7 linked regions of the Coturnix japonica genome follow. The protein of the gene in region 1 binds, or shares a complex with, the protein of each later gene. Links are inferred from orthologs where the notes say so. Each region holds a gene or a part of one and is shown in the gene's direction. Other genes may lie near its edges. The genes, in order: TFDP2, LIN54, E2F4, E2F1, RBL1, E2F6 and LIN9.

Region 1 (3,761 bases):
CTGGTGCATTTTTACCAGCACCACCACAGAGAAGCAGCAACTTTCTGGTTGTAAACTTTGAAAATCTTAGATACAGTTATTCCTGTGAGCTTAATTATTGTTTCACTCATTAAAAGGAAATAGATGTTCTCCAGACTGGTCTGTGATTATTGATCCCTGCAGAAGACCGTACTATAGGTCTCATTTTCCTCTGGAGAACTGCAGTGGGAAGGGTCTCTGGTAGTGTCTCATCTAAGCATTGAGACTTTACTGAGAGGATTCCAAGCCTCGGCTCCTTGCTTTGCCCATTGTTTACCTCATCTTCACTGATTCTAAATTGTTTCCAGAGACAAATAAGATCATATTCATTCTCCATACAACCCCAGGCAGCCAGGCTTTACAGATCTGGGGCAGCTCTCCACTCACTGCCATTCCAGGTCCCTGTTGTCCCATGCAAATGCTGCAGCCCCTGCCCCACCTTGCTCTGGTAAGCACCATGGACAGGAATTGCTGCTGTTGCTGCTAGGAAGACATTTGCAGGTGGGACTGGTCAGACTGGAGGTTCTGAATTGCACAGCCAGATACATGCAGGCTTTCACAGCATCTTCAGAGCCATCATTTTAGTTCAGCTCTCTTCATTAACACTGTCAGCTTTTTAGCTCTGCGTGTATCTGCTGCAAGACTGCTTCGGAATAACAGAGTAGCAATATGAAGTAGCATACTATGACGGTTCCCAAACACTGTGCATTATCAGCTGCAAGAGTAAGAGACAAGGTTGTAATAAAAGTTATGAAATCTTCAAGATGCAGCTAATAACAAAACTACAGGGAAACTGGCAATGATTAGCAACGTCTACTCCTGTGCTAAGCTCATGTCAGCTGCTTCTTCACAGTATCTCTGCTGCGATAGCATCAGCTCTAATATGTACGTGTGTTTATAGTTTGTGTGTTGTTTTTTGTTTAAAGACACCAAAACATTCAGTATCAAGTAAATACAGGATCTGTTTTCTGCACTGTTGGAAAGCACTTTATTTAGGTATTATTTACCTGCTCAGACAACCTCCAAAGTCCTTACCATTTTCTTTCAGATTCTGTCACACTGTGTGCTGTCTTCTTCCTTCAGTAAGCGCTGAACATCTCATTGTTCAGCTAGGCACCAAATACATTTATTTTATTGTTAAAATAACTTTTTTTTTTATCATAAGTAAGCTTGAATTGTCTTCTCCTAGGGAAAGAAAACGAACTCGAGAATTTATAGAATCGGATTTTTCAGAAAGGTGAGTATTACTGAACTTAATTTACCTTCAGAGCCCTTCAGAGAGCTGGCTGTCTAGTCTCCACTTTAGTGAGCTGTCCCTTCTCCCCACTAAAAGCTGTGCAGTGTGTTATTCTTTGTAGTTACAATTCGTTACCCTTTGCTGTATCACTTCCTATCATTAACATTTGCTTATTATTTATATTTATTTCTGATATATTTACATTTACTGCTACAGACCAAACTGGAGCTGTAAAAAAGAGAGAAAACCACAACACATCTTCAGAAACAAGAATTTTCAGTTCGCTTTCGCAGCTTTCAGTGGGACAAACTCTTGCAACCAGTTAGTTGGTTGCTACAACCAACATGGAATGCGTTCAGCGTGTTTTATTTGTTTGCCTACCAGTGATGACTCGAGTAACTGCGCAGGTTTTAGGAGGGTTTTCTGTTTCTTTTTCTTTGCTGTCCTGTTGTTTTCTTTTTTTAATCTTCTGCTATTCTTTTCTGCTTTTTCTTCTGTCATTTTTTATTGTTATGTTTTCTTTAAATACATTCAAAATTTTCGATAGCACTGGAGCCGGGTCTGCCTGTGCAACATAACACCCCTCCCTGAAACAGGCAAATCAACTTCTGTAACTGTAATGTTTGTAAAAAAAGAAAATCCATCTGAGCATGTGAAATGCATGCAAGTAGTTCCACTGTTTTTATTAAGAAATGCAATGACAAAAGGTTTTTTGATGTAAGTCTTGCATATTATTAGGTTATGTTTTATTAGTATTTTGCTTCCAAGTGTCCATAAAGCTGTCAGTCAAGAATGAAGTAAGATTTGCAGTCTTGCTCAAACACACCTTTTGAACTTACTGACATTTGTTGTGTTGTTAATGTAATGCCTCTGAAGAGCATTTAATTAAAAAGTAAATCAAAGCATGTAAAATTACAACAGCAAGATATAAAAATTTACCTAAAGAAATACAGTGAAATTACATGCAACAGGAAATAACCTTCGTAGAGTAAAACTTAACTTATTAATATAAAACATAGGGAATTGGTGAAAATAAATAACCTGGGCTTCTAAAGATGTAGTGTTTTGAAACAAAAAATGTTCCATCTTAGGGAGAGCTGAGTGAGATGTGAGCAGCATCGGCTGCAGTTGAAAACTTCCATAATGGGGAGCAGCCGATAATGGGGAAAAAGCAGGAACTGGATTTTGAGTTGTGTAAGGATCTGCCAGGAGTGTGCAGTGCTGTGTACCTGAAGCTCCAGGCCACTCTTACTCTATTCTAGATTGTCTGAAGAAACAGATTGTTCCTGTTCTTTCCTTTGATACAAGCTAAGCTCTTGGGTTTCTTTGACTCTTGCAAAAGCTACATAACAAAGCAAGCTTATTAAATTTCAATTTATAAAAATAATTACTTTCCTCCTTACAGTAAAAGAAGCAAAAAAGGAGACAAAAACGGGAAAGGTCTGAGGCATTTCTCCATGAAAGTATGTGAAAAAGTTCAGCGCAAAGGAACAACTTCATACAACGAAGTTGCTGATGAGCTGGTATCAGAATTCACAAATTCCAACAGCCACTTGGCTGCGGATTCGGTAAGCAAACGTGGGGATGTCTTTTTTCTACCACTGCAGGACTGGGTGGCTTTGTGTGACCTGACACGTCCCGCAGTCTCCCTCAGTTAACTGTCTTGGAAATATAATGACCTACTCTTACATTATTTATATATCAAATTCCTTTTTAAAATACAGTCTGTCAAAATTATCAGCAAAATAGAGAAGGCTGGAATAAATAAATGAAGCACTGAAGGCTGCTCTGCCCACAGTGCATCTTGTCATGCTTTGCAGTGGTAACAGATTTGCTGTGACGGCAGCTGCTGCTCAGAGGCTTCAAGTAGGTCCTGTACTTTCCTGTGTGCACAGAGATGCTGCTATGACAGCCAAGCACTAGCACAGATGACGGCATCATTTTACTATCACTCTGGCTTAATGCTGTTCTTTTAGGTGCAAAGAATGTGTTTCTTGGTGGGCTTTCTTTTTGAGTGCTTTAATAGTTATCAGTGCTGCACTGTTCTCTTAGCAGGCTTACGATCAGAAAAATATTAGACGGAGAGTTTATGATGCCCTTAATGTGCTGATGGCAATGAACATAATTTCAAAGGAGAAAAAGGAGATCAGATGGATCGGCCTTCCTACAAACTCAGCTCAGGAATGTCAGAATCTAGAGGTAAAGTGAGGTAGATGCAAATATCTGTAGAGTTCATAAGTCAGTCATTATAACAGAGCTGCTGTAATTCAGAAGAGGTTTCTTTTCCGCACCATTTGAGCCCGACTGGTTTCCCTTCTTGCACAGTATGGAAATACAGCTTTTGGTATTTGACTAAACTGAAACAACATGTTTATTTTCTATGTCAGGTTTGGTTTCATTTAGTATAACTTGCACAGGTTTCAAAAGCTGTTTATTTTACAAAATATTCATTATCTGTATCAGGGATAGTTTTTAAGGTTTAAACTCTGTAGTAACCCGAATTAAA
Region 2 (3,761 bases), on another chromosome or scaffold:
AAGAGTGTCATCTATTCTGTAGGCAGTGAAAAAGCCAAACACCAACACAAACTGAAGGAAAAAGGTCACAGTTGAATGTGGAGAGACACCAAGCACCACTTTCATGGTCATATGGAGAGTTTCTGCTGTCAGAGTTGTAAAAAGAAGCACCCACACCGCTCCCTCCTTCCCAGTTCACATTTTATTGCACATTGGCAGCAGCCTGGGGTCTTCTTAGCAAGCTGCCAGCTGTTGGGGTATTTGTGTGCAGGGCAGGAGTACTGAAGGGCTTTGTGCCCTGGGATGCTGTGCTGGCTCTAAGGATTCAACAACTGAACGTTACAGAAAGATGGATATAACTTTCAGCTTTTTTAAACCTAAATAAACAATCTTTTTATTTGTAGTAATGCGGATTACTTTCTAGTTGAATCTAACTCGAAAGAATTCTACTGTCCTTTCTGCTAGGTAATGTACCTTCAGGTGAGGATCAGCTACAGGCTAACCAGAGAAGGCGTTTGCTTTACAAGTTGTAAATGGTGATAGTTCAGCTGACCATCCCTTTCTTGATTACAGGCAGGGTTGTTTCACAATCTACTCCAGGAACACCACCAAAGACAATAACAATCTCTGAGAGTGGAGTTATTGGATCATCTTTGAGTACAACAACACAACAGACACCGAGTAAGATAGCTATCTCGCCACTCAAATCTCCTAACAAGGTAAGAACCTTATTCTAGCTGCAGCCTTCTCGTCTCTGCTGCAAAGGAAGCTCTGTGTTTGCATCTTTGCTGCAAGCTGTCTGTGATCTGCCACTCCAGAGTCTCCATTGTGAGTCACTATGCTCTGCTCTGCTATAGTGGCCTAAGCTGGATTTTTCAGCTAGCTCCTTTAATGTGATTTCAATGCACATTACTGCATTAATTTCCCATTCCTGTCACTTTTTGCCATTTCCGAAGCATCCATTCTCCTGTTTCATTCAGCTGTTCTCCTCTAGCCAAGTGCTGAAATAGCGTACTATTTCTTTTATCAACTTCTGAAAAATTCACCAGGCTCTTCAAGAGGAGATCTCAGTTACTTTATAGGTTAACATTTACCAGCCATTGCCTGGTGTTCCATAGGTAAATTAGTCTTCACTAATGTTGACTGATATAGATGAGATTGGCAACGATTCTTGACAGACTGGGAAATTGGTATAGGCAGACAATTGATAGAAAGGTAACTTGTGCATCATCAGCTGTGTTGCAGATGAGCATTGCAGTGATGCTTGGATCTTAGACCTGATAAAATTCCCTTGAGAAGAAGAATATTGCTGGAGAAAGGATGAGTCTTAGAGTGGGAACCAAGATATATAACACATGCAAGCTAAGTACAATGTATGAAAACCTATGTGAGAGTTAAGATTTTGTTAGTTTGGATGTGCATTAGCAGTGGAATGTTACACAAATGGAGCAAAGGGCTTTTGTTTCAGAATTATTACTGGGCAAAACAATGTAGGGAAGCTGTAAAGTCTTATTCTAAGAACTATCAGAAGAGTGAGAGTAAAAAGTCTGTTATCTCCTGAGTTTACTGTAGGCAAATAATTCTAAGTATCTTTTTAAAAAAATGTTTCAAAACCTGTGGATCTTTCTGAAAACTTAAAGCAGGAAATGTAAAAGAGTAGGTAGAAAACAGTGGGAGATGTCCTGGTTCTATCAGTGAAACTGCAACAGAAGGGCTGATAGTATATAGAATAGTCAAATGACACACTGCAGAAAACTGGGTCTTACCAGTATCTGGAAACTTATAAAATAATTTCCTCAGTATTTTCCATTTGGTATGAATTAACAGCATAAAGTGAGATTATTTTTTTTTCATTTCCATCTTTTAAAATCCCCATTGATCATGTAGCCATCATGGTGCCGATTATAAAGCTGTTATTCCAAAATCCATCCTGACGATGCTATGGCTTCAGTGTGCAGAGTTTCCAACCAAAACGGGGCAGTGCTGACTTCCTGCAGGGACCTTTCTGTGCTGTGATTGCACGGTCAGGTTGCACAGTGTGAGTTGTGATTAGATTACAACTCTTTTGTTCACAAGAAGATCTTAATGTACTGTGGGAGAACTGTACCTCTCATAATTAGAGGTACATATATATATAGAGGGTTTGCATACTGCACAGAGGTTTAAACTGCTTCTTTGTTTTGCCAAGCAGCTAACAGTGGTGTCAGTGGCCTCCCAGCCTCCCAACTCCCCCCAGAAGACGGTGGGCGTCCCACTGAATGTAGCGTTAGGACAGCAGATCCTCACAGTGCAGCAGTCAGCACCCTCCTCCCCTGGGAAGGCCATAGTCAACCACACAACCACGCAGGTACAGACTGACTTTTGTTTAATTTTTAGCATGTCTGCATCTCATAACACATGGGAAGACTAGGGTGCTGATCTGCAGGATGGCAGTGGGCATTCCCAAGGTGTTTTTGTAAAGGCTTTTGTTCAAGTTGGCAGAGGAACGGGTGGTCCTCCCATGGAGGTACAGGCTGGCTATGGCTGACAGCCAAGGGTGTACACATAGGAAAAAATGGGTGTCCAATCTGGAAAAGCTTCACTTGGAGCTAACTCTTGTATCTGTATATTATATTTCTCATGTCATCTTAAAGACATGCTGTGATAGAAGGCAGAAGTCTTGGAGTAATTGATTCTTTTCCAACAATGAACTGCTGCTTTCTGGGTGTTTGTTTGTTGCAAGCCTCACTTCATATTTTGGTATGGGTCTAGTAAGCAAAACTCTGTGCTCTGAGACCTGCAGAATTATGAATCAGTTACTTTATTACTAGAAAAATACCGAGATTCTCCCTATTAATTTTTCTAAGTTAACTTGCATTAATAAAAGAAGACAGAATTGAGCTGTTTCACAAACTACAGTTTGGTTTTTTTTAACCCCCTTTGTCATCTTAGGGGAATCTTTTTCCATCTTAATGTCTGTATTCCTGTTATGATAAACACAAAGGACAGTGCGCAAGTGTAAATGAGAAAGGTGGCTATTGCAGGGAGTCTTAACAGTTATATGCACTGCAAAAGACCCAAAGCTCCATCAGATGTTGATAGTCTTAGTATTGTTTCTGTTAATAGGAATGGTAAAATGGGGACATAAACACCAGCACGATTTGACATTTCAAAGTAAAAATGGCAAGATTGTTTTAAAAAGTTGTTAAAACATAAAATCACTCTTGTGCAAGCAACCAATCTGAGTGACCAGTCTGAGATTCCTATGTAGTGTGCATATTGAGATGTGATCTAAAGCTGTCTGAAACGTAAGGATTTCTCCTGGCTTCATAGGGCTCAAGGACATGCCCTTTGAAGAGCCATCACTTAAATATTATTTTCCCAGTTGTTGGATGACAGTCAGCGATTTATGTGCTAGATGGAACTTTGCCTAAGCTGGTCTCTCCGTAATAAAACGCTGTGACTGTGCTTGCAGACTGTGAGTGCTGTTGAAATTTCAGTACTTTTAAATATCTATGCATCCTCCACCACCACCATCCCCCTTCTAAAAAAACAACTTCTCTAAAAGACTGCACTTGTATCTCTAGTGAAGTATGTGTAAAGTGAGATTTTATTCCTGTAGCTATCAACACCTAGGAAAAGGTTCTAAAGGTTCTAAAAATGTCATATTGTTGTATCAATCAAATTTACCACAAAGATTTAACACAGTTGACAGTGACATACTAATATCAATTTTAGTAGATATTGAGAATAAATAGTTGAACTCCAATAAATAGTTGAAGTGACTGAGAACAAGAGAGCAG
Region 3 (3,761 bases), on another chromosome or scaffold:
TCCTGCTTTACTGTTTCTTCTGGTTTAAGGTCAGGCTTCTTGGGGACGGGGGTTGTGTTTTCAGTTTGACAGTGCTTGGGGCCAGATAGTTTGTAACAGCCTGTGGGAGCTTCCTGGAGACCAGCAGACAGATTATTGCTTGGTTCATTGAGCAGTTTGCATTTTATTGCACCTGTTTTTCTTCCTAAAAGAGTTTGCTTCTGAACTCAGACCACACCAAAAACCTTAGTTGTTAGTGACCAAAAGGAAGTGGAAACACACTGTGCACCGACTGTCTTGTGAAAACATTTGGGACTCAGCTATCAAGAGAGATAGAAAGGCAGTGCCTGTGATGTTGAGGCCGTTGGGTCTTTAAGTTTAAGCTTTCTTTGGGCTTTATTATGCCTTTTTAACATCATTTAACAATATTTTCCTTAAGTGTAGATTTGTTAAAGGACTCCCATCTCCTCCACAAATCTTGTGCTTCTAATCCCTGCACTTTTGCTGAGCTGACCTTTTGTTACCTGTCTGTAATAGAAGGATGTGCTGTTCTGCTGTCTGCTCTGTGGATCGTAGGGAAGATGATCAGTCCTTCACGCAGGATGTTGGTGAAGCGTGGACACAAACCACACTAAAGTTTAAATATTCAAACTGAAAGCTGCTAACTGCTCGGTCTTTATATGCCTGCTTTTACAGCACTGGTATTTCCCCCATTCATGTTTCTCGTGTTAAATATAAACCTGGATGCAGATTGGGAGCAGCTCATCTGGGTTTGTTGTGTTCTGCAGGACTTGGAAAGGAGATGGTGCTGTCAGCCTGGCTCTCTGTGTCTCTGTGCAGGGGCCAACACAGCCAGCACCAGGCAGCTCTTGCTGATAGAGGCAAGGGAACATCGGCTTCAGGTGTTGGTCCACGTGAGGCTGCTGTGCTGTCTCTGCTGGCAGGGCAGCTCTTCCAGCTGTGTGCCATCCTATTCACAATTCAGACTGGGGAAGATGAATGAGTTCTGTGGAGGAATCGGCTGGAAAAATGCTTGACTTTTCTCGGAAGGGTTGCTTGGAAAGAAGTTTTGCAGGTTCTTTATGCCCTCAGGGTTGGTACGTTCAGAGCTCCACAATCTGCTTAGCAGCTTGAGTGGGTGTAAATGGCAGTCCTCCAAAAGAGGGAAAGCTGTGTGGACTTTGAGAAGTGCCAGGGGCTCTTTGTCAGCATTGGAACAGCCTGTGCCCTGTGAGTGCCGACCTGCTCTGTTTTCACAGGAGACACCCTCCTTGCAATTCGAGCCCCTTCAGGCACACGCTTAGAGGTTCCCATCCCTGAGGTGAGTGATAAGTGCGTGGATAGAGAGCAGCTGTGTGCTATGGGGGAGTGCTGCTGCACTGAGCAGGCTGGGAGTTGGGAAGGAGTTGGTGGTTGTGGTTTTGATGGAGTTGGAGGAACTTGGAACTCAAGGAAGGCTCTGACTGTTAAATAGTTGCCAAGATGATCTGTTTGGAAAGAGCTCTTAATGTACATCTGTGTTTTGCTTCTGACTTTTCTCAGGGCCCGAGTAGGCAGAAGAAATATCAGATCCATCTGAAGAGCACCAGTGGGCCAATTGATGTTCTCTTAGTAAACAAGGATGCTTGGAGCTCTCCTCCAGTGGTGCTACCCGTCCCACCCCCTGAAGACCTCATCCAGTGCCAGGCAGTTGCACCCTCAAAACCACAGATCCCTCCGCTTGCCCACTTCCAGGAGGCATCTGTTCCCAGCAGCACCCAGCCCTCAACGCCAACACCTTCCAGCACTCAGGATCACAGCCCTCCTGAGCAGAAACACACGAACACAGGTGAGAGGGAGGTTGCAGAGAGCAGAAATGGGATGGTTGCCGACCAATAGGGCAGTACAAACCTGGTCATACAGCACTGTCAGCTCCTGGCAAAGGGAGCACCTCTGTGCTTGCTGCACCGAGCCTTTGCTTTCATCTTAGTGGGACTGGATGTGCTAATGGAAATACTGTGTGTGTCTGTGGCTCCTTCCAGAATGCAGCATCTCAGTGCTGGAGTCCAAGAGCAGCAGTGACCTCGATCCCCTCAGCAATGTGTCTGCACCCAGCAGCCATACAGCCAGGCTGGACACGCAGCTGCTGCAGTCCTCTGCCTCACTGGACAGCAGCTCTGTCCTACCCAGCCCCTCTGCCTCCTTTGAGCCAATCAAACCTGATCCTGAAGGAAGTGAGTATGCACCCTTGGTTTGTTTGTCTCTCCAGATTGTGCCACTGGGAGCGAGGGAGGGGCTGCTGGCTCCAGGGGGACGAGCTGAACTCTGTCAGCCAGACCACATGAGCAGTGAACAGGCATTTCTTTGGGGGGAGAAACCACAGCAGTGTGTGGGTGCTGGGGAACCTGGTGTGGAGATGACAGTGTCACATCTAGTGCCGTGTCACTACCTGTGATGCTAGGCTCAGAAAAGCCACAAGGGATGCTCACGTGATGCATCTGTGCTGTTCTAGGTAGGATTATTCTCTTTCAGCCCCTTTTGTAGTGCTAGGTCTGAGTTTTGAGACTGTGAAGCCTTCACTGACATCACTCTTGTAACTTGTTCGGTTATTAGGAGAGCTCTACTCTCTGTTTTTCTCCTTTACTCAGAAGTACTTCTTCTATCTGTAGCAATCTTGTGGTCTTATTGTCTTCCAGTATGTGTCTGGGAAGCTTCCTGCTGTGCTTGTTGAGGTGCAATGGGCTTTAAATGAGGAAGTGTTAGCTTCAGACTGGGAAATGGCAGGCTGGTCCACAGACAGAAGAGCATCCTCTGGATAAGACACTGTGCTTTAATGCTTCGAAGCTTACCTTCCATGCAGAAGTACTTAAAGTTAATGTGTTAGAAGGGGATGGTGCATAAGGACTGAGAGGATAGCAGGGCAGCGGCTGATGAAGCTGTATAGTATTTCAGATGCTGCATTTAACAAAGTCAATCATTTGGTTTGTTATATTCACAGTGCTGGAGCTTCCCAAAGAGCTGTCAGAGATGTTTGATCCAACGAGAGGTACGTTCACACCCTGATCACAGATGAGAGCTTTTCAGGCCCTGTGCCAGCACTAATCTGTGTTCTGCCTTCCCACACTCCTCTTCCAACTTGCCTGCATCATCTAGAGCCACCAGCAAAACCCCTGTTAGTCTTGTTTCAACTGCAGCGTGCCACTGTGGATTTCTCTCTGCAGTAATGCATGCTGTTTTATGGACTATTCCTCCTGCTTTGGAGGGGTGAAGTTCAGATCCAGGAGTGAAAGCTGTGAAGGATTTTGCTTGTTTTACCCTCATCTACTGAAGAAGGTCTAAAAATATAGGTTCTGTATTTTACTGCTATTTATTTTAGCTCATATTATTCCTCTCTGGTTACCTCTAGTTGAAATCCTCTCATCTCACAGCATGGAACTAGGCAGGGTACATTCCTGTTCTTTAGGAAATGGCCTGCAGTGCATCAGCATCTTGAGGACGGGCTCATCTGAGTTTGTTCTGTGGAAGATCACTTCACTTGTGGGTGATGAGGGCCTGGCCAGGCTGATTGAGATCATCACTGTTTAACTTGGTGAAGTGAGAGAGGGAATCAGAAGGTTGTTTCCAAACACTTCGCTTCTAAAAGGGGAAAGATCCGCTTGCACACGCTTGGCCTGGCTGCTTGCCTGCCAACCTTTCAAGTGCTTCGTGGTCCTGTTGGCCAAGTTCAACATCACTGGAGGAAGGAACGATGTTTCAGAGATAATTTCTGCTTGTAGCCTTGTGTGGGCAGTGGAGCAGAGAGC
Region 4 (4,406 bases), on another chromosome or scaffold:
GGGAAAAGCCCCCTTTCCCCCCTCAGCATTTGTCGCAGTGACTGTTTTGCCTTTCATTTGTCTTTGCATCTGCCCTTTTCAAGTGCCACAAGAGCTGAAAGCCTCGGCGAATTGGCACGGGGGAGGTTGGGGGGGGGAGCCCGCTCCCCCTGCATAAACTGCCGTATGAATGAGGGAGGGGGGAATAAAACAAACCCGTGCTGCCCCCAGCTGCCCCGGCCTTTGTGAGCGCGGTGGGAGCAGCTGGTGCCGCAGCTGCCGCTCACAGCCCGCGGCCCCGGAACGGCCCCGCAGCCGGGGCGGGTGGGACCGTGTGTCCGGGCGGGGCGGCACCAACGGGCCGCATCTGGCGTGTAACTGCTGCTCGTACCACTCGCTAACGGGGATATCGCCGTGACCGGGGTGCGGGTTATCGCAAGGGCCGAGCGTTAATTAACAGCGCTCACCGCCGCCAAGCGGAGCGGTGCTGCCGTTCGGTGCTGTGCTGCAGGGCTGGGCCGTGGGCTCCGCAGCCACAGGAAGAACGAGCAGCAAAACACCGCTCAGCGTTCACTACATCCCCGCTGTGAGGCACCGCCCGCACCCAGCGCTAACCCGGCCGTCCCGCTGAGCCCCGCTGCGGCCGCAGCTCCAACTCCGGCCCCGCAGTACCGAGATGGGGGGGTGTTTATGTCCCTGTGGGTTGGGCTCCGTTGGAGGCACATTGAGGTTATCAGCGCCCCGCACACGGGATACAGACGGCGGGAGCCGCCCACGCCACGTCCCGCGGCTTTGACTATGGGCTGCCCTGCCCTGCACCGCCCGCACCGCCACGGACACGCAGCTCAGCCCCGCAGCCCGCACAGCGTCACGGGCAGCTCTAGCCCAGCAGTGCAGGGAGCGCCCGGCGCTCAGACCCGTCTGTGAGTGACCCCACGCGGGACCAGCTCCGCGCCGCCCTCGGCCCCTTTAAGGCCCGGCCGCGCTCCTCACCCACGCGGCGCCACGGCCGCGTCCCCGAGACGCCTCCCGATTGGCTCCTGCCTCAGCTCGGCGGTTCTGATTGGCCGCCTGTCAGCGCGTCCGCCGCCGCCGCCCTTAACCAATGGGCGGCCGGCACCGCCCCTCCCTCCGGCGACCTCGACCAATCAGACGGTTTCCCCGCACCCCCGCCTCAGCGCTCGGCGTTGGGCGCAGCCAATGGGCGGGCGCGGGGAGGTTGGCGCCGCTTTCGCGGCAAAAAGGATTTGGCGCGCAAAGGCGCGCGGGGCCGGAGCGCGGGACAGCCCGGCACAGCCCGGCACGGCCCGGCACGGCCCGGTACAACCCGGAACGGCCCGGAACGACCTGGGGAACGGCCCCGCGGATCGGCCCCGCGCCCGGCAATGGGCCGCGCCCCCGCCCCGGCCGCGGCCCCGCGCCCCGCGCCGCCCGTCACCTGAGCCATGGCTACGGCGGGCGGCGCGGCGGGGCTGGCGGCGCTGCTGGGCGGCTCCTCCCCGCACCTCCTCATCGTCTCGGCCTCCGAGGAGCCCGCGGGCGGCTGCCGCCCCGACGCCGACCTCCTGCTCTTCGCCACGCCGCAGCCCTCCCAGCCCGGCCCCGCGCCGCGCCGCCCCACGCTGGGCCGCCCGCCGGTAACCGCGGGACGGGGGAGGGAGCGGGGCTGAGCGGGGCTGAGCGGGCCGCCGGGCGGGGCCGGGACGTCGCGGTGCCCACGCGGGACCCCCCCCCCCCCCCCCGTCAGAGCCCGGCCGCGCGGGGCACCGCCGCTCCGGAAGCCGCCGCCGAGGCCGCCTTCCGCCCGGCAGCGCCGTTGCGCGGGGCTGCCCCCACAGGCCGGGGCCCGGCCCTGCCGCCGCGGTGCGTTCCGCGTCCCCGCGCTGAGGACGCCCTGTCCCGCAGGTGAAGCGGAAGCTGAACTTGGAGACGGATCACCAGTACATCGCCGACAGCCTGCCCGCCGCCCGCGGCAGGGCCCGCATCCCCGGCAGAGGTACGGCCCCGCTGTGCTGCCGGCCTGAGCCCTTCGGGATGGGCCTCGTCACCTCCCTCTTCCCCTCTGCCACCTGCCGTCCCCGTAGAGCGCTGGGCCCTGCCCGGCTGCTCGCTGTCAGGGCTCAGTCTCGGGGCCCTGCAGCACCATCCCCCGAGCTTCCCATTGCCAGCAGCTGCCGGGTGCTGCTCACCTGCCGGGTGTGGCGGTGCTGGGGCTGCCCCGCGCCCCACGGCTGAATCTTGCACCTGTCCCCAACAGGGGCAAAGTCTCCTGGGGAGAAATCCCGCTATGAAACCTCACTGAACCTCACCACCAAGCGCTTCCTGGAGCTGCTCAGCCAATCCCCCGATGGTGTGGTGGATCTCAACTGGGCGGCCGAGGTGCTGAAGGTGCAGAAGAGGCGCATCTACGACATCACCAATGTCCTGGAGGGCATCCAGCTCATCCGCAAGAAGTCCAAGAACCACATCCAGTGGATGTATGTCCATCAGGGTGGGGGGATAACACCGAAGCTGCCAGGGTTGGGTGGAGGGAGGGAGGTTGGGTTCCACCCTGAGATCGGGAGGTGATGGCAGCAGTGGGGTGTTAGTGCTGGGGGTGACAGCCCTGTGTACCCCAGGGGCAGCCAGGTGGCCGCGGGGGCTTCAAGCCGACAGCAGCTGCTGGAGAAGGAGCTGCGGGATCTGCAGGCGGCAGAACGGCAGCTGGACGAGCTCATCCAGACGTGCACGGTGCAGCTGCGGCTGCTCACCGAGGATCCCTCCAACCAGCAATATCCTTCGGTGCGGGGCCGGGATGGGGCTGGATGGGCTGGAGAGCTGTTGGGGAATGGAGCCCCCCCCTGCTCTGACACTTATGGTCACTGTGTGGGGTTTTGGGTGTGAATGTGGCCCCGTGTCTGCTCCTTGACCCGCCGCACCGCAGCCTACGTCACCTGCCAGGACCTTCGGAGCATTGTGGACCCCTCTGAGCAAATGGTGATGGTTATCAAGGCACCCCCAGAGACCCAGCTGCAAGTCTCAGACCCGGCAGAGGTGAGTGAGGGGTCTCTCCTCCCCATGGATCTTCACAGCCCTCGGTACAACTCCACCTTGGCACTCCATGTCCCTCCTGTCCCCAGGCTTTCCAGGTCTCAGTGAAAAGCACTCAGGGCCCCATCGACGTGTTCCTCTGCCCCGAGGACAGCTCAGGGGTCTGCAGCCCCGTCAAGAGCCCCTTCAAGGCACCTGCTGAGGAGCTGTCCCCTGGCTCATCGCAGCAGAGAGCCTCCCCGCTCCTGCATCCTGCTCAGGATGTCAACATGCTGCTGCCTGGTGAGCAAGGTGGGGATGGGGATGGGAATGGGATGGGAATGGGATGGGAAGGGATGGGATGGGATGGGATGGGATGGGATGGGATGGGATGGGATGGGATGGGATGGGATGGGAATGGAATGGAATGGGGGCACTGCCTGGGCTCTGTGGTGTGGGGACAGTGTTATCACTGTTGTTCCAGTTCCAGGAGCACGAGGTTACAGGGCTGAGGTCTTGGCTGTGTGTTAGGAGGAGCCTGACCTCCATGCTCATGCAGTGCCAAGTAGTTGGACTCAATGATCCTTATGAGCGAGTCCTTTTTAAATTGGGGTATTCTGTGATCCACCCAGCTGTGGGCTCTGCTCCTACCCAAGCTTGGCAGAGACAGCCCTGGATCTTTCTGCTTAGGAAAGGACACTGTCCCTCTTTGTCCCACCACTCAGCAAGTGGTCTGAGTCACGCTGCCCAGTTGGCCTGGATGTTTCTGATCACTCCTGATGCTTTGTGTGCCATCTGCATGGCCTCAGTAGCTTAGAACACAGCAGTTCTGGTGTGTGCTGTGGGGCTGACAGCCTCGCTCTGTCCCCACAGAAGCACTGCTACCAGGCACAGCACTGCCCTCCAAGTGCTCCACAGAGGATGTGAGCCTGTCACCGCTGGCCTCCATGGACACCCTTCTGGAGCAGGCCAAGGACGATTTCTCGGGCTTCCTGGCGGATGAGTTCATTGCCCTGTCACCACCACAGGCACAGGATTACCACTTCGGCCTGGAGGAGGGTGAGGGCATCAGTGAACTCTTTGACTGTGACTTTGGGGACTTCACGCACTTGGACTTCTGAGGCTCTTGTCCTGATTTCAGAAGCTATCCCACTGCCAAGGGGGGGGACGCAGGCAGGGCTGAGGACAGCCACGTGGTGCCCTGTGCCTTGGTGTGGCTCTGGTGCCTTCCTGGGGTCCCTGTGCTGCAGCAGCCCTGGGCCCCCTCCATCCGTCCCCTCTGCAATATTTTCTTCCCTCCTATCCGGCATCTCTGTGCCATGATGGGACAGAGCCCAGCTTGGTGCTTGAGCCCACATTGGGGCCTACTCCTGTCCCAAGAGGAGGATGCTGGGGAGCAAGGGGTCCCCATTGGGTGC
Region 5 (4,429 bases), on another chromosome or scaffold:
GCTGTTAAATCCAAAATCGATATAATTTATTTATGTAAAAAAAAAAAAAAAATCACGATTGCTATATTTTTGAACCTTTTAAGTACTAACTTTCTTTTTATTCAGTAGAAGAACATGTACTTGCCCTAAATCCTTAAAATACAAATGCTATAAAACTTGCTGTATCTTCAAGCCTTACTGTGACTGGACGCAGACATCTCTTCATGGTCCGTTTCTTGCACGGGATGGTTTCTCCAGGGTTACGCTGGTAGGGAACAGGGTTGTAAGTGGCGTTTATTTAATTAGCTGGCATGCTCTGTACCTTGTTCTATTATCAGCCGTGTCCGCTCCGTCTCTGGGTGTTTAGGCTTCTCTTTGACTGCTTTGTGACCCTTTTGCAACCCGATGTGCTCTGTGCATTACTTGCGCTGTGAGGCATTGGCAGCTCCTTCTCATTTTCCATCCTATCCCAAAGAAACGCCGACGTTCCGCGGGTTGTCCTGGATCCCCACACAAACACATCCCCACCAAACGCGCTAACAAATAAAGGTCTGTGCTCTTGGATGTGGATAAAAAGAAAAGGAAAAAAAAACAAAAAACCAACAAAAAAAAAAACCAACAAAAAAAAGATTTAAAGGTCAGATTTTTATTTTTTTAATTTAGTGACGAGATGATGCTTATCTTTCAGACTTGGCAGAGCCTTGCTACAGATGTATATAATTTTTTTCAGCAAATATATGTGAACGTTTAATTCACCTGACTGTGATACCGGTTCCTCGCTTTTCTCTCGGCACCAGCGCCGAGGTCCCGCCGTGCTCCCGCAGCGGAGCGGCCCAAGGCACGGCGGGCTGATCCCGGAGCGCTGCGGGGCGCCCGGGGGCGGAGGCGGAGCCCGGAGAGCGGCCGCGGTACCGGCCGGCATCGCTCGGTGCGCTCGGGCAGCACCGCTCTGCGGGACGGTCCTTCTCCCACTGACACCGCGACACCTGCACCGGAGCCCGGCGAACGCCCGCAGGTGCCGAGCAGCGGCTCGCGGTGTCGCTCCGGCTCAGGGCGGCGCCGTTACTGAGCGGTCGCCGTTCGGTTCCTCGGGCGGACGGACGCGATAAGGGTCAGTTCCCGGCGGTGCGTGGAGCCGTGCGGGGCTGGGGCAGCTCCGAGGTCCCGAGCTGCTGCCCGAGGAGCCGCTCGCACGGCGCCATGTGCGGACGGTCCCGGCCCCGCAGCCCCGCTCGGCACAAGGTGACGCTGTGGGCAGCGCCGTGACACACGAGGCCGCCCCGCACCGCGACCGAGGACGGCGGCTCTGCGGAGCGGCGGGCACAGCGCGCACATGGGACGGGCCCAGGGACGAGCCATCCCACGGACACGGACACGGACACGGACACGGACACGGACACGTCCTGGTTCCGTCCGCCCCGCCCGCTCCCCCTCCGTTACACACACAGCCCCTCCCAGCCCCGCGCTCCCCTCCCGTTTCCCGCCCGTTGGCGCTCACGGCGCCGGAAGCGGCCGCGCCGTTTCCGGTGGTGGGTTTTGGCGCGCAGAGCAGCTCGGCGCGGTGCCGGCCGGGCCGGGTCGGGCCGTTGTTGGGCCGCCGTCATGTCCCGCACGGAGCCGCTGCTCGAGCCCGAGCTCGGCGCCGCCGTGGAGCGGTTGTGCCGGGAGCTCAACCTGGACGCGGGCAGCGCGGCCGAGGCGCTGCGCGACTTCACGGCGCTGCGCGGCACCTACAGCCTGGAGGTGGGCGGTGAGGCCGGGCGTCAGGCCGCGACGTGGCGAGTCGGCCCCGGCCCCACGCGCGGCGTTGCCTTGCAGGGGGACGCGCAGCACTGGTTGGCCTGCGCGCTGTACGCCGCGTGCCGCCGCCGCGTGCTGCCCACCGTGGGCTGCGGGACCGTGGAGGGGAACGGCGTGTCGCTCACCCGGATCCTGCGCTCCGCCAGGCTCAGGTGCGCAGCTCGGCCCGCGGGGCGGCGCTGAGAACGGACGCGCGTTAAAGCCGATAATAAAGTGGCGCTTTCCTCGTCGGCTTTTCTTTCTTTTTTTTTCCTTTTAAGTCTGATTCAGTTCTTTAGCAAAATGAAGAAGTGGATGGACATGGCCAACGTGCCGCAGGAGTTCCGGGAGCGGGTGGAGCGACTGGAGAGGAACTTCGAGGTGTCCACCGTCATCTTCAGGAAGTTCGAGCCCATATTTCTGGATGTCTTTCAAAACCCCAACGAGGAGACCTGGAAACCCCAGCGCAGCAGGAAGCAGAGGTACTGCAGAGCGCCGTGTGGCTTTGCATGGGTTTACAAGTAACGGGAACGTTTGTTGTGCTTAGAAAATAAGGCCGAGCTTTGAAGTGACTGAGTGTGAACGCAGGGATGGTGCAGGGCGGTGGCTGAGGCTGGGCTGTCAGTCCCCCCGTGCCTCTCAGGGTGCTCCGTCCGCGGGGCTCCAACGTGCGGCTGCTTTATGTGACTGCCCGTATGTGAGTGCCAGGTGAGCGCTGCCCTTCTGTGGGAGAAAAATGCAGACAATGTGCTCATCTGTGTGACACTGTAACTGCTTCTGGTGTCTTCCTGATGCACAGAGCGCTTCTAGATTCAAGGGCTTTGTCCTTGTTCTGCATTGACTGTGTGGTTGTCCCTGGTTGCTCTGATGAGGATACGACCTTCAGCAGCAGGAGCTGAGCTGGCTCTTTGCTGGGGGTTTCTGCTGCTTCACGTGCTGGTCTGGATGCAAGGGGTTAATTTGTGGTAACCCGCTCTGGTGTAGCTCCTTGTGCACAAATGGGAAGGGAGCTGCTGCTGCTGCAGCCAGTTCTGCTGCGTCTGCACAAGGAGAAATGTCCATGCACTGTTAATGTTCCTTCATCAGAGCAGCTCTCATTAGCGTGACCGCACTGTTAGCTTCTCTGTCAGGTGGTTTTCATTCATTTCTTCTCCTAGACTATTCACCAGAAGAGCTGCAGTGCAAGTTGTGGTTGCATGTTTTGAAGGGATGTGTGATGCATTAGTAAAACGTTTAGGAGAAAGATGCACTGCAATTGAGAGAGCCCTCAGCATGGCTCTGCGTGCAGCTCTATGAGACTCCAGTTGCAATTACACCATCACCAAAGCAGTGTGCCTGGGGCACCAAGCACAGGCAGCTGTTGGCTCAGAGCAGTCGGTGATGCTGTGCCAGAAGCTCTGCAGAGCTATCCAGGAGGCTGCAGTAAGAGGAGCTGCTCTGTGTGCCCGCAGCTTACAGTGTGCCTTAGTTTGCACTCATGAGGTGATGGCTCTGTCTGTTGCTTTGAGCATGGAAACAGAAGGAAACTTGCTAAGCAGTATGTTTCAGCTTCCTGGAAGCAGAGACTGATTCCCACCCCTCTCGTTGACAGGCGGGTGCTGTGTGGTGTTAAGGATCTCTTCAACTTCTGCTGGACCCTGTTTGTGTACACTAAGGGTAGGCTTGTGCTCTGCAGCCACGTGTTTCGCATGCGTTCTGAGTTACAAACTTCTGTTGCGTCGCCTGACATGATGTGCTGTCTCTTAAAGGTAATTTCCGTATGATTGGGGATGATTTAGTAAATTCCTATCATCTGCTTCTGTGCTGCTTGGACCTGGTTTTTGCAAATGCCATTTTGTGTCCAAATCGGAGAGATTTGCTAAATCCGTCGTTTAAAGGTAGGGTGGGGATCAGTTATTCAAAATGAAATACACTTTGTTCCTTTGGTTATTCTTCTTTAAGTAAAGATGGAGGTTGGTTGTTTTGTTTTTCCCCTTCGCCCATTCCCAGGTTTACCAGCTGACTTCCACGCACTAGAGATGAAAGCCTCAGAGGACCCCCCGTGCATCATTGCCACGCTGTGTGAGCTGCATGATGGGCTTCTTGTGGAAGCGAAAGGAATAAAGGAGCACTACTTCAAGCCATACATTTCTAAGCTGTTTGATAGGAAGGTTCGTATTGCTATTTGAAGGATGTGTGATAGCGCTCATACTGACGGTCCTGTCTTGAACACTGAAATCCCGTGTGTATGGAGGAAGGTGCACTGGTAGGCAGAGGACTTGTGTTGGTTCAGGTCTGTTCCTCTGTGCATTTTGGCAGGAGCGGAGCTGAACTCTCCCTTCTAATGATGAGTGCTGTAGGGCCCCCCTCTGCTTTGGCTTCTTATGTCAGTGGAGAATCCTTGCTTCCTTGGCAGTATGGAAATTGCAGGTGATAACCTGTTTTAATTAAAGATGATGTTATCTTGTGGAGTAGCTGTCATGATTGTCTGGATCCTGGTGTGTGTCATGGGCTAAACACAGTGCTCTGAATGAGGAGGTTGGGGTCACAGGTGGAAAAACTGTTCTGTGTGGTTTTGCTCCTGGAGGTATTTCTAAGCTCCGTGGAGATGTCTCTATTTGCCCAGTAGGTTCCTCCCTGCCGAGGGGCAGAGGTAACAGCACAGCTCCAGAGTACTGCATTTACTACAGGT
Region 6 (4,508 bases), on another chromosome or scaffold:
AGGCCCTTCATCATCTTTCTTTTTCCAGCCATATTAAGCTGAGGACAAGAAAGAAAGCACTATTACCAGAAACACATTTTAATTCTTACATTTTACAGTGTAAAAAATCACTTGGTAGCATTTAAATTCTTTATATATAATCATTATGTAGAGGTCAGAACTTTAACAGGATTTGAATGAGATAAGGAAGTTTAAACAAGCAGACATATTAATATAGGAGATTAAATTAGGAGAGTGGAACAGGCTGCCCAGGGAGGTTGTGGATGCCCCGTCCTTGGAGGTGTTCAAGATCAGGTTGGACGGGGCCCTGGGCAACCTGATCTAGTAAAGGTGTATGTTTGGTGGCCCTGCCAGGCAGGGGGGTTGGAACTACATGATTCTTGAGGTCCCTTCCAACCCGGGTCATTCTGTGATTCTGTGTGATTCTGTGATATACAAAAATATAGACAGATACTTGCATCCATATGATACTTACATGTATAATTTGTCTTTAATGCTTTCATACTTATTCACTTTTTCAGGACAATATTAGCTTTGGCTCATCTTTGCAATTGCACACATGCATCTACAGGAAAGCCCAGCTGCAAGATTTCATTTAAGGGGAGACTGCATTTGAAACCAGAAAATTTTAACGAAATCATTGTTGTAGGTTATATGAATGTTAAAACATCCCATTCAGCAAATGGAATGACCGCCCTCTGGTGGTGGGTCGAAAATCGATCCAATTGGAGAAGATATGCCTCCAGTTGAGTATAACAGCAAGAGGATAATCTTCATTCCTTATTGGACTGTACTTTCTGCTATTGAATACTTAGAGAGCATTATGTTGCCCGTAAGAAAGTGTGTGTTTTTAGGTATCAGTGATGTGTCACAGAAGCACACAGAATCACAGAATGACCCGGGTTGGAAGGGACCTCAAGGATCATGTAGTTCCAACCCCCCTGCCTGGCAGGGCCACCAAACATACACCTTTACTAGATCAGGTTGCCCAGGGCCCCGTCCAACCTGGCCTTGAACACCTCCAAGGACGGGGCATCCACAACCTCACTGGGCAGCCTGTTCCAGGGCCTAACCACTCTCCTAGTGAAGAACTTCCCCCTAACATCCAACCTAAATCTTCCCTCTTTTAACTTAAAACCATTTCCCCGTGTCCTGCTATTATCAGCCCTTTCCAAGAGTTTACTCCCCTCCTGGGAGTAAGTTCCCTTCAGGTATTGAAAGGCTGCAATGAGGTCACCCCGCAACCTTCTCTTCTCCAGGCTGAACAAACCCAACTCCCTCAGCCTGTCCTCATAGGGGAGGTGCTGGAGCCCCCTGATCATCTTTGTGGCCCTCCTCTGGACCCTTAACAAAATCTCCATGTCTTTCTTGTACTGAGGGCTCCACACCTGGACACAGTACAACAGATGGGGCCTCACAAGAGCCGAGTAGAGAGGGACAATCACCTCCTTATCCCTGCTGACCACCCCTCTCCTGATGGAGCCCAGGATCCCATTTGCTTTCCGGGCTCCCAGAGCGCACTGCTGGCTCATGTTGAGTCTTTCGTCCATCCCCCTGTGCAGCCTGTTCCATTGACCCCCACACAGCGCTCAGTGATGAGGGCACTGAGGTAACGATGCACACGGCGCTTCCGCTGCGAGAGAGCGGGAAATCCCCGCGGCACCGGATTGGTGCTCGGCCTTTGCGTCACCTTGGCCAGGTGCGCGCATGCGCAAACGCTCCATCCGCCGCCCGGCCGCCCACAGGTGGGGGAGGGTAGGAGCGGCCGCAGCGCTGAGCCCAGGCGGCCCCGGCACCCCCTCCACCCGGAGGTGGGGCGGGGATGGAGGCGCCTTTATCCCGCACGGGCCCCCAGCAACATCGGGTAGGGTTTTGAGTGCTCTGCCGTCTCATCGAAGTCCGCCGCCGGCGTGAAGGAGGAAGAGGAGGGGGCGCGCCAACATGGCCGCCGCCTCCAAGTGGGAGCGCCTGAGGCCGCTGCGGCCGGACACGCTGCGTCTGAGCGCGGTACGGAGCGGGCGGGGAATAGGGATGGAAATACAGCCTGGGAACGGCCAGAGGGCGGGGCTGGGATGGGCTGGGTTGGGGCTTGGATCCTGCTGCGGAGGGAGGGAGGGGTGTGTGGGGAGGGACGGCGCTGCGGGTTGCTGGGAGCGGGAGGACGTCAGGATAGAGCTTTTCTAATGTAGCTCTTTATAGAATCACACAGAATCACAGAATGAGCCGGGTTGGAAGGGACCTCAAGGATCATGTAGTTCCAACCCCCCTGTCTCTTTACGGGTAGAGTGGAGAGGTTTGATTTAAAACTTGGTTTCCCAGCCAAAATAGGAGTGCTTCACCACCAGTGCTTCTAATTAATGGGTACATATGACTGCAGAGAGTTGAGTGGTGGACTTAATAGAGACCCAGTACATTTTAAGCGCTAAAATCTGGAACGTGATGAAATGTAATCCCTTAAAAAGCTGTTTTAAAAGAGAAAACAGTTTCGGTTCTGTCTCTTTACAAAGAACAAGTTGACACGGTGCCAAAAACAAAAAATGCAGAACTAGAAAGAGGAGACAGAGCTGCTGGGGGCCATTGGGAAGGACAAGGAGGAGGTGGTGAAGCTGGGACCGAAGCTGGGAAGGCAGCGAAGGATGGTCGGAAAGTGGCATCGGCAGCCGAGGCCTATGGGGAGCTGTGAGGCAGAGTGGCCTCGTGAGGCTTATAGAGGTGTTATAGGCCTTGTGGGTTGGGTTTGTGTTCTGGGCCCTGTAGGGGGGATCCCAGGGCCTTCTAGAGCCTTTGTGGGGGGAGCATTCAGGAGTATAGGAGCATAGAATCACACAGAATCACAGAATGACCCAGGTTGGAAGGGACCTCAAGGATCATGTAGTTCCAACCCCCCTGCCTGGCAGGGCCGCCAAACATACACCTTTACTAGATCAGGTTGCCCAGGGCCCCGTCCAACCTGGTCTTGAACACCTCCAAGGACGGGGCATCCACAACCTCCCTGGGCAGCCTGTTCCAGGACCTAACCACTCTCCTAGTGAAGAACTTCCCCCTAACATCCAACCTAAATCTTCCTTCTTTTAACTTAAAACCATTTCCCATAGAGATCCCGTAAATGCTGTAACGGAGGAATTGGGGCCCTATAGATTCTATAGGGTGCTCCCAGGACACCATAGGGCAACAGAGACTCTTTACAGTGCCCTGTTGTCCAGGGCTCTCTCCCTCTCAGGTATTTTCTCAGACCTGAGTGCACTATTTGCAATCAGCCTCTCATCAGACTCTGGTGATGTTAAGCACCAAGTTAACCTGGTCATCTAGCTCAGGTCTGCTCCTGTGCTGTCCATGAGGTATGTAGCAAGAGCTCCACCTGCTTGTATGTCTGCAGCGTGCTGTGGGGACTGAGTGCAAGGCGTGGGGAAGGGCTGAGTGGCTGTGCTGGATGGTGACTGTACCACCTCCCTTGGTAGCCTTTTCCAATGGATCACCACTCTTTCCAAGAAAAAAAACAAACATTTTCTGGTATTGAACTTGAACCTCCCCTGGCACAGCACGTGCTTTGGGACTTTGGGAGAGCAGACTTCGGGACTCAGCTTATTCAGGCAACACATCACTGAAATATTGGGAGAGGCAGCTTGGAAAGATGAAGGGGTGGAGGCCTGTAAGGACATCATCGAGGGTGACTGGAGCTTTTTAACTGCCAAGGAAGGGTGAGTGAAGGAAAATGTGAATTTGCTGCTAAGGGGAAGAAGTGGTTTAGTGAAAGCAGACACAGATAAGGCTGGAGATGTTAGAAACCTCTGGGAATAGGCTGGAGGGATGGATCATCAAGGAGATGATCAACTTGAACAAGGAATTTGAAAATTAAGTCTGAATCCTATACCTGGAAGTGTAACTTGATGTGGTAAAGGCTGGGAAGTGAGATGTTATGGAATTATCCTGCTGAAGAGTCCTGTCCTGACCTGAGAATCTGTATGGACAGTGGGCTAAACATGAGATATCGGTATATCCTGCACTGAGGTGTATGCAGTTCTCCTTTGCTTGTCAAGTATTTGCTTCTGTGGGTGTGGGAGCCATAGTGGTGAGGCTGGTCTCTTTTCAGCAGTGCATGGGGATAGGACTAGGGGTAATGGGATGAAAGTACAGCATAGGAAGTTCCGCACGAATGTGTGGAAGAACTTCTTTACAGTGCAGGTGATGGAGCACTGGAACAGGCTGCCCAGGGAGGTGGTGGAGTCTCCTTCTCTGGAGATATTTAAGACCCGCCTGCATGCCTACCTGTGTGACATGGTGTAGGGAGCCTGCTTTGGCAGGGGGGTTGGACTTGATGATCTCTAGAGGTCCCTTCCAACCAATTCTGTGATTCTGGAGTGCTGTGTCTCATTTGGGACTGACCGATACAGGAAGGATGGTGATAAACTTGAGTGCAGCCATCAGCCATCTGTCAAAAGTGGCACATGTGTTAAGACACGTAACTGAAGGAGCATTTTAAGCCACAGCAACCCACGACTAATTGCAAC
Region 7 (3,761 bases), on another chromosome or scaffold:
GAACCCACTAACAGAACCATTACAGCTTGGAGAAGAAAAGGCTCAGGGTGATCTCATCTATGTGTACAAATACGTGAAGGGAGGATATAAGAAAGACAGAGACAGGCTTTTTTCAGTGGTGTCTAGAAAAAATGCAGTGGGCACAAACTCAAACACAGGAGGCTGCCTTCTGAACATAAATAATTGTTTTATTTTTTTTCACTATGAGAGCGACTGAGCAATGGAACAGGTTACCAGGAGAAGTTTCTGCCTTGGAGATGCTCAGAGGCCATCTGGACGTGGTCATGGGCAACCTGCTTTTTGTCAACCTAAAATAGGCATTTCTGTTTGTTACTGGTTTTTTAATACTTTTAAACAAGAAAATATTGTCAGCTTTTTTCAAGATCTCAGCAGAAATCTTTTGTCTCAGTTTTAAAAGATTTTGAATGGTTCTAAATCATTCGAGTGTGTTATCAAATAATTTTAATCTACTTCTGAAGTATAAGTGTTTGGTTTTTTTTTAGCATCACATGTCTGTTAGAAATTTCCTATATCTATCCTCAGTCATGCTCAAGTAAGATAAATATCATGGCAATACCAATATTTGCCCAGGAGGGAGGAGAAAGCGTGACACTTCATATTCATAGTGCTGATAGCAGAAAATAATAGTGTCTCCATGTTCTTGTGAGCTACAAGAAAGAAATTTTGAAGATTAGCAAAGTGGCTTTGTGAAACAGTTTGAGTGAGGGATATACAGAAGAAAACACAAGAATGTTTATTTCGGCGTATAATAAGAGTAATAAGCAGACTTGGAAATAGAGGAGCTGACTGCTCAATACTACATGAGATTTGAATAATTAATCTTTGAGTTTTTCTCTGGAGAATAGTTGGTGTAGAATAGGGAGCCAGTAGAGAAATTATCAGTATTGTCTAAAATACCCTTGTAAAATGGCGCTTTTTATTGATCACTGATCAATACTTAGCTAATAAGTTCTACAGAGAATGTTTAAATTGCATTTGACTACAGTAAAGCAATTAATAAAGTTGTAGTAAATTATATCATAAATAACTACTTCTGCAATTAGGCAGACCTAATTGTTTTTTGTTACCAACACAGGAATGATTCCTTTATTAATAAAGGAATAGAGATAGGAGCAGTGTCTGTGCTTTCAGTATTATTTTCATGTATCGTGCCTGTTCAGGAGATTAAAAGTGAAAATGAATAAAACCAAATAAAGACCTTGTGAGTAAGTCTGCAATCTCTTAGATTACATTCTAAGGCCAAAGCAAAGGGACAGATGAGTTTTAGAGATGATCTGATTTTACACAAGAACCTTCATCCAAACAAATTTATACTGGTACTGTGATCAGTGTCAGAACAATTAATCTACGTAATAGAAACTTGTGTCTAAGAAATACTCAGCATGAATGCTAGTAGAAGAGACAAGGAAAAGCTCTTTTATGTTGAGTCTGCTGCCCTTTCATACTAAGTTTAACCTTCAAAACTTTCTACTGTGTACAGTAGGTGATGGCAGACAGGTAACCTGACAGTAAGTCCTAAGTACAGGCGTGGACATGGTGTTCAGGATAGGCTGGATATGAGGCTCTCTACAGCTTTGTTGTGAAACCAGATGGACCACAGTAAGGATAAAAAGTCCTCAAAATCAGTACTCTTTTGAAATATTAATGCAAACAGCATTCCCAAGTCTTTCTGGTTGTTCTTTGGATGGTTCGATGTTTGTTTAGGTTTGTTTGTTGTTGTTTTCTTTGTTTTAATTTTGTTTTAAGCGAACTGTTACTCTAGGAGTAATAATTCCAGAGACTCAGAGCATCTAAATCTCTTCATCAAAATCTTTCTCTCTTGAGCACTTCACTTCAAGCTTTTTCATTTACTCTCACTGAGTTGTAAACTGCGCTCATTTGTTTGTTATGTATTTTGTATACGTATGTCTTCAATGTCAAATTTAAGTATAGTTTTACCTCATTGTATTGTAGGTGCTCCTCTGCATTCTTTGAGGAAGAAAGATCAGCATTAAAACAGAAGCGGCAGAAAATAAGACTTTTGCAGCAACGTAAAGTTGCAGATATTTCACAGTTCAAAGATCTTCCAGATGAAATTCCATTACCCCTTGTAATAGGAACAAAAGTTACAGGTAGTTTTTCTTAAAAACTAATAAACAATACCCAAGATTTTTGCAAATATTTTGGTAAACTGCGGTGTTACTTACTGTGCATAGGTGAAATAAATTTAAAACATTAAAAATTAATTGCTTTTGTTGCTAGCTCATTGAGAAAGCGCTTATCGTGATTATCTAGTATTTGTAAAACAACATGGTTTTGAGATAAGATTTTGTGGTTTATTATTTCTGGTGTTGAAACTGTAGTTGTTTATTTTTATTGTTGTTGTTTGGGTTTGTTTTGCTTGAAGTAAAGTACCTCCCAACAAATCCTAGAGAGGCTTCAAAGCCAAGAGCTTAGTGCTGCCTGGAAGTTTAAAATACGAGCTAATATAAAACTTAAGCTTGATTTTCCATAAATATAAAAATACCTATCTGAAAACAAATATACAATTGATATTGCAGTGTAGCTGAATATATATGCTAAATAGGACATTGTCTTATAGAAAAAAGTACTCATAACTGAGAAAGGGATCTTGTTAAAAATGGTTTTTTTTTTAAAGAAAATGCATTCAGCTTTGCTTAATTTTGTAAAAAAAAAAATAAAAAAATCTTGAATTTCTTCTTCCTCTCTGTGAAGGAGGATGCTTTTCACTTGAGCACTGTATCTCCCACTCTGGCCTCTTCATTGCTTCTTCATTGCTTTCTGAGTTCTTCAGCATCCCTGTCCTTAATTCTTGCTGAAAAGCAGGCATACAAAGCACCCTGTATCTTCTCACTCTCATGGACCTATATCCTTCTATATCTTCTTTTTCTCAGTATACAGTCATCACTGCGAGTGGTCATAGAGAGATGGTGTGCAAAATTATTCCAAAATTGATTTTTGCCTGCAAAATCTAATTGGCAGAAGGTATTGGGTGTTAGATAGTATTTTGTTTAGACATAAATGTAGTGCTGAAGATTAGATGTGGGAAATATTTGACTTGCAAAGATAAATTTGACAAAAAAAAAAAAAATTGGGTGGTGTTTCTAGTGGATACAGCTTTTTTCTGGGTTTACAAGTTTTGCTTGTTTGTTTTTCTATATATATGCGTTGGAATGCATATATAAAAAAAGATTACATATCTGTGCCAAGGTTACATGCGTAACATTTAAGTCTGTTCTTCTCAGTGACATCAGAGCATTATAATATTTGAGTTTTTGTGGAGGTTTTTGTTCTTAATATGTTTTTTCTTTCATATGTTTGTTGTTGTTTTTTTTTTTTAGCACGATTGCGAGGTGTCCATGATGGGCTGTTCACAGGACAGATAGAAGCTGTAGACACTCTTAACGCTACATACAGAGTCACTTTTGACAGGGCAGGTCTTGGGACACAAACAATCCCAGATTATGAAGTTCTTGTAAGTATTAATGATACATTCCCAAAATAGCTGTAATGCAAATTCTTTTTTGTTGTTGTTTGTTTGTTTAATCTACAGTTGTGTCCTTTAATCAAGAAGAATGTGTTAATTACATCCAGGTAGTGTTGTCATAAACCAGAAACAAGCATAACAGATGCATGGGAATTTCCAGGAGAATGAGTTTCTGCTGCTGCTTGTTATACAGAATAAGATCACCTTCTCCTAATACAAATTGTAGTAACTAAGGCTGGAATAGCAGAATAGA

What was found.
Region 2: TFDP2 (region 1) and LIN54 share a complex: the UniProt entries of both Homo sapiens proteins name them as parts of the DREAM complex. The link is inferred for Coturnix japonica from reciprocal best matches to the Homo sapiens genes TFDP2 and LIN54.
Region 3: TFDP2 (region 1) and E2F4 share a complex: the UniProt entries of both Homo sapiens proteins name them as parts of the DRTF1/E2F transcription factor complex. The link is inferred for Coturnix japonica from reciprocal best matches to the Homo sapiens genes TFDP2 and E2F4.
Region 4: TFDP2 (region 1) and E2F1 share a complex: the UniProt entries of both Homo sapiens proteins name them as parts of the DRTF1/E2F transcription factor complex. The link is inferred for Coturnix japonica from reciprocal best matches to the Homo sapiens genes TFDP2 and E2F1.
Region 5: TFDP2 (region 1) and RBL1 share a complex: the UniProt entries of both Homo sapiens proteins name them as parts of the DREAM complex. The link is inferred for Coturnix japonica from reciprocal best matches to the Homo sapiens genes TFDP2 and RBL1.
Region 6: TFDP2 (region 1) and E2F6 share a complex: the UniProt entries of both Homo sapiens proteins name them as parts of the DRTF1/E2F transcription factor complex. The link is inferred for Coturnix japonica from reciprocal best matches to the Homo sapiens genes TFDP2 and E2F6.
Region 7: TFDP2 (region 1) and LIN9 share a complex: the UniProt entries of both Homo sapiens proteins name them as parts of the DREAM complex. The link is inferred for Coturnix japonica from reciprocal best matches to the Homo sapiens genes TFDP2 and LIN9.

What each region holds. Positions count from the first base shown.
Region 1 is NC_029524.1:8,760,991-8,764,751, reverse strand, and holds part of TFDP2 (transcription factor Dp-2), read left to right. Parts: exon of another isoform or gene 1-1,207; coding exon 1,208-1,255; exon of another isoform or gene 1,256-1,842; intron 1,843-2,660; coding exon 2,661-2,823; intron 2,824-3,307; coding exon 3,308-3,454; intron 3,455-3,761. UniProt on the Homo sapiens protein: Can stimulate E2F-dependent transcription.
Region 2 is NC_029519.1:41,219,627-41,223,387, forward strand, and holds part of LIN54 (protein lin-54 homolog), read left to right. Parts: intron 1-552; coding exon 553-698; intron 699-2,170; coding exon 2,171-2,326; intron 2,327-3,761. UniProt on the Homo sapiens protein: Component of the DREAM complex, a multiprotein complex that can both act as a transcription activator or repressor depending on the context. In G0 phase, the complex binds to more than 800 promoters and is required for repression of E2F target genes.
Region 3 is NC_029526.1:1,548,351-1,552,111, reverse strand, and holds part of E2F4 (transcription factor E2F4), read left to right. Parts: intron 1-1,238; coding exon 1,239-1,300; intron 1,301-1,521; coding exon 1,522-1,807; intron 1,808-2,000; coding exon 2,001-2,192; intron 2,193-2,956; coding exon 2,957-3,004; intron 3,005-3,761. UniProt on the Homo sapiens protein: Transcription activator that binds DNA cooperatively with DP proteins through the E2 recognition site, 5'-TTTC[CG]CGC-3' found in the promoter region of a number of genes whose products are involved in cell cycle regulation or in DNA replication.
Region 4 is NC_029535.1:1,933,273-1,937,678, forward strand, and holds the start of E2F1 (transcription factor E2F1), read left to right. Parts: upstream 1-1,409; 5' UTR 1,410-1,424; coding exon 1,425-1,616; intron 1,617-1,884; coding exon 1,885-1,975; intron 1,976-2,236; coding exon 2,237-2,456; intron 2,457-2,597; coding exon 2,598-2,750; intron 2,751-2,897; coding exon 2,898-3,012; intron 3,013-3,098; coding exon 3,099-3,291; intron 3,292-3,861; coding exon 3,862-4,109; 3' UTR 4,110-4,406. UniProt on the Homo sapiens protein: Transcription activator that binds DNA cooperatively with DP proteins through the E2 recognition site, 5'-TTTC[CG]CGC-3' found in the promoter region of a number of genes whose products are involved in cell cycle regulation or in DNA replication.
Region 5 is NC_029535.1:564,034-568,462, reverse strand, and holds the start of RBL1 (retinoblastoma-like protein 1), read left to right. Parts: upstream 1-1,489; 5' UTR 1,490-1,581; coding exon 1,582-1,931; intron 1,932-2,039; coding exon 2,040-2,240; intron 2,241-3,349; coding exon 3,350-3,414; intron 3,415-3,506; coding exon 3,507-3,635; intron 3,636-3,747; coding exon 3,748-3,908; intron 3,909-4,429. UniProt on the Homo sapiens protein: Key regulator of entry into cell division. Directly involved in heterochromatin formation by maintaining overall chromatin structure and, in particular, that of constitutive heterochromatin by stabilizing histone methylation.
Region 6 is NC_029518.1:88,734,206-88,738,713, reverse strand, and holds the start of E2F6 (transcription factor E2F6), read left to right. Parts: upstream 1-1,704; 5' UTR 1,705-1,941; coding exon 1,942-2,007; intron 2,008-4,508. UniProt on the Homo sapiens protein: Inhibitor of E2F-dependent transcription. Binds DNA cooperatively with DP proteins through the E2 recognition site, 5'-TTTC[CG]CGC-3'. Has a preference for the 5'-TTTCCCGC-3' E2F recognition site.
Region 7 is NC_029518.1:14,858,243-14,862,003, forward strand, and holds part of LIN9 (protein lin-9 homolog), read left to right. Parts: intron 1-1,974; coding exon 1,975-2,132; intron 2,133-3,362; coding exon 3,363-3,496; intron 3,497-3,761. UniProt on the Homo sapiens protein: Acts as a tumor suppressor. Inhibits DNA synthesis. Its ability to inhibit oncogenic transformation is mediated through its association with RB1. Plays a role in the expression of genes required for the G1/S transition.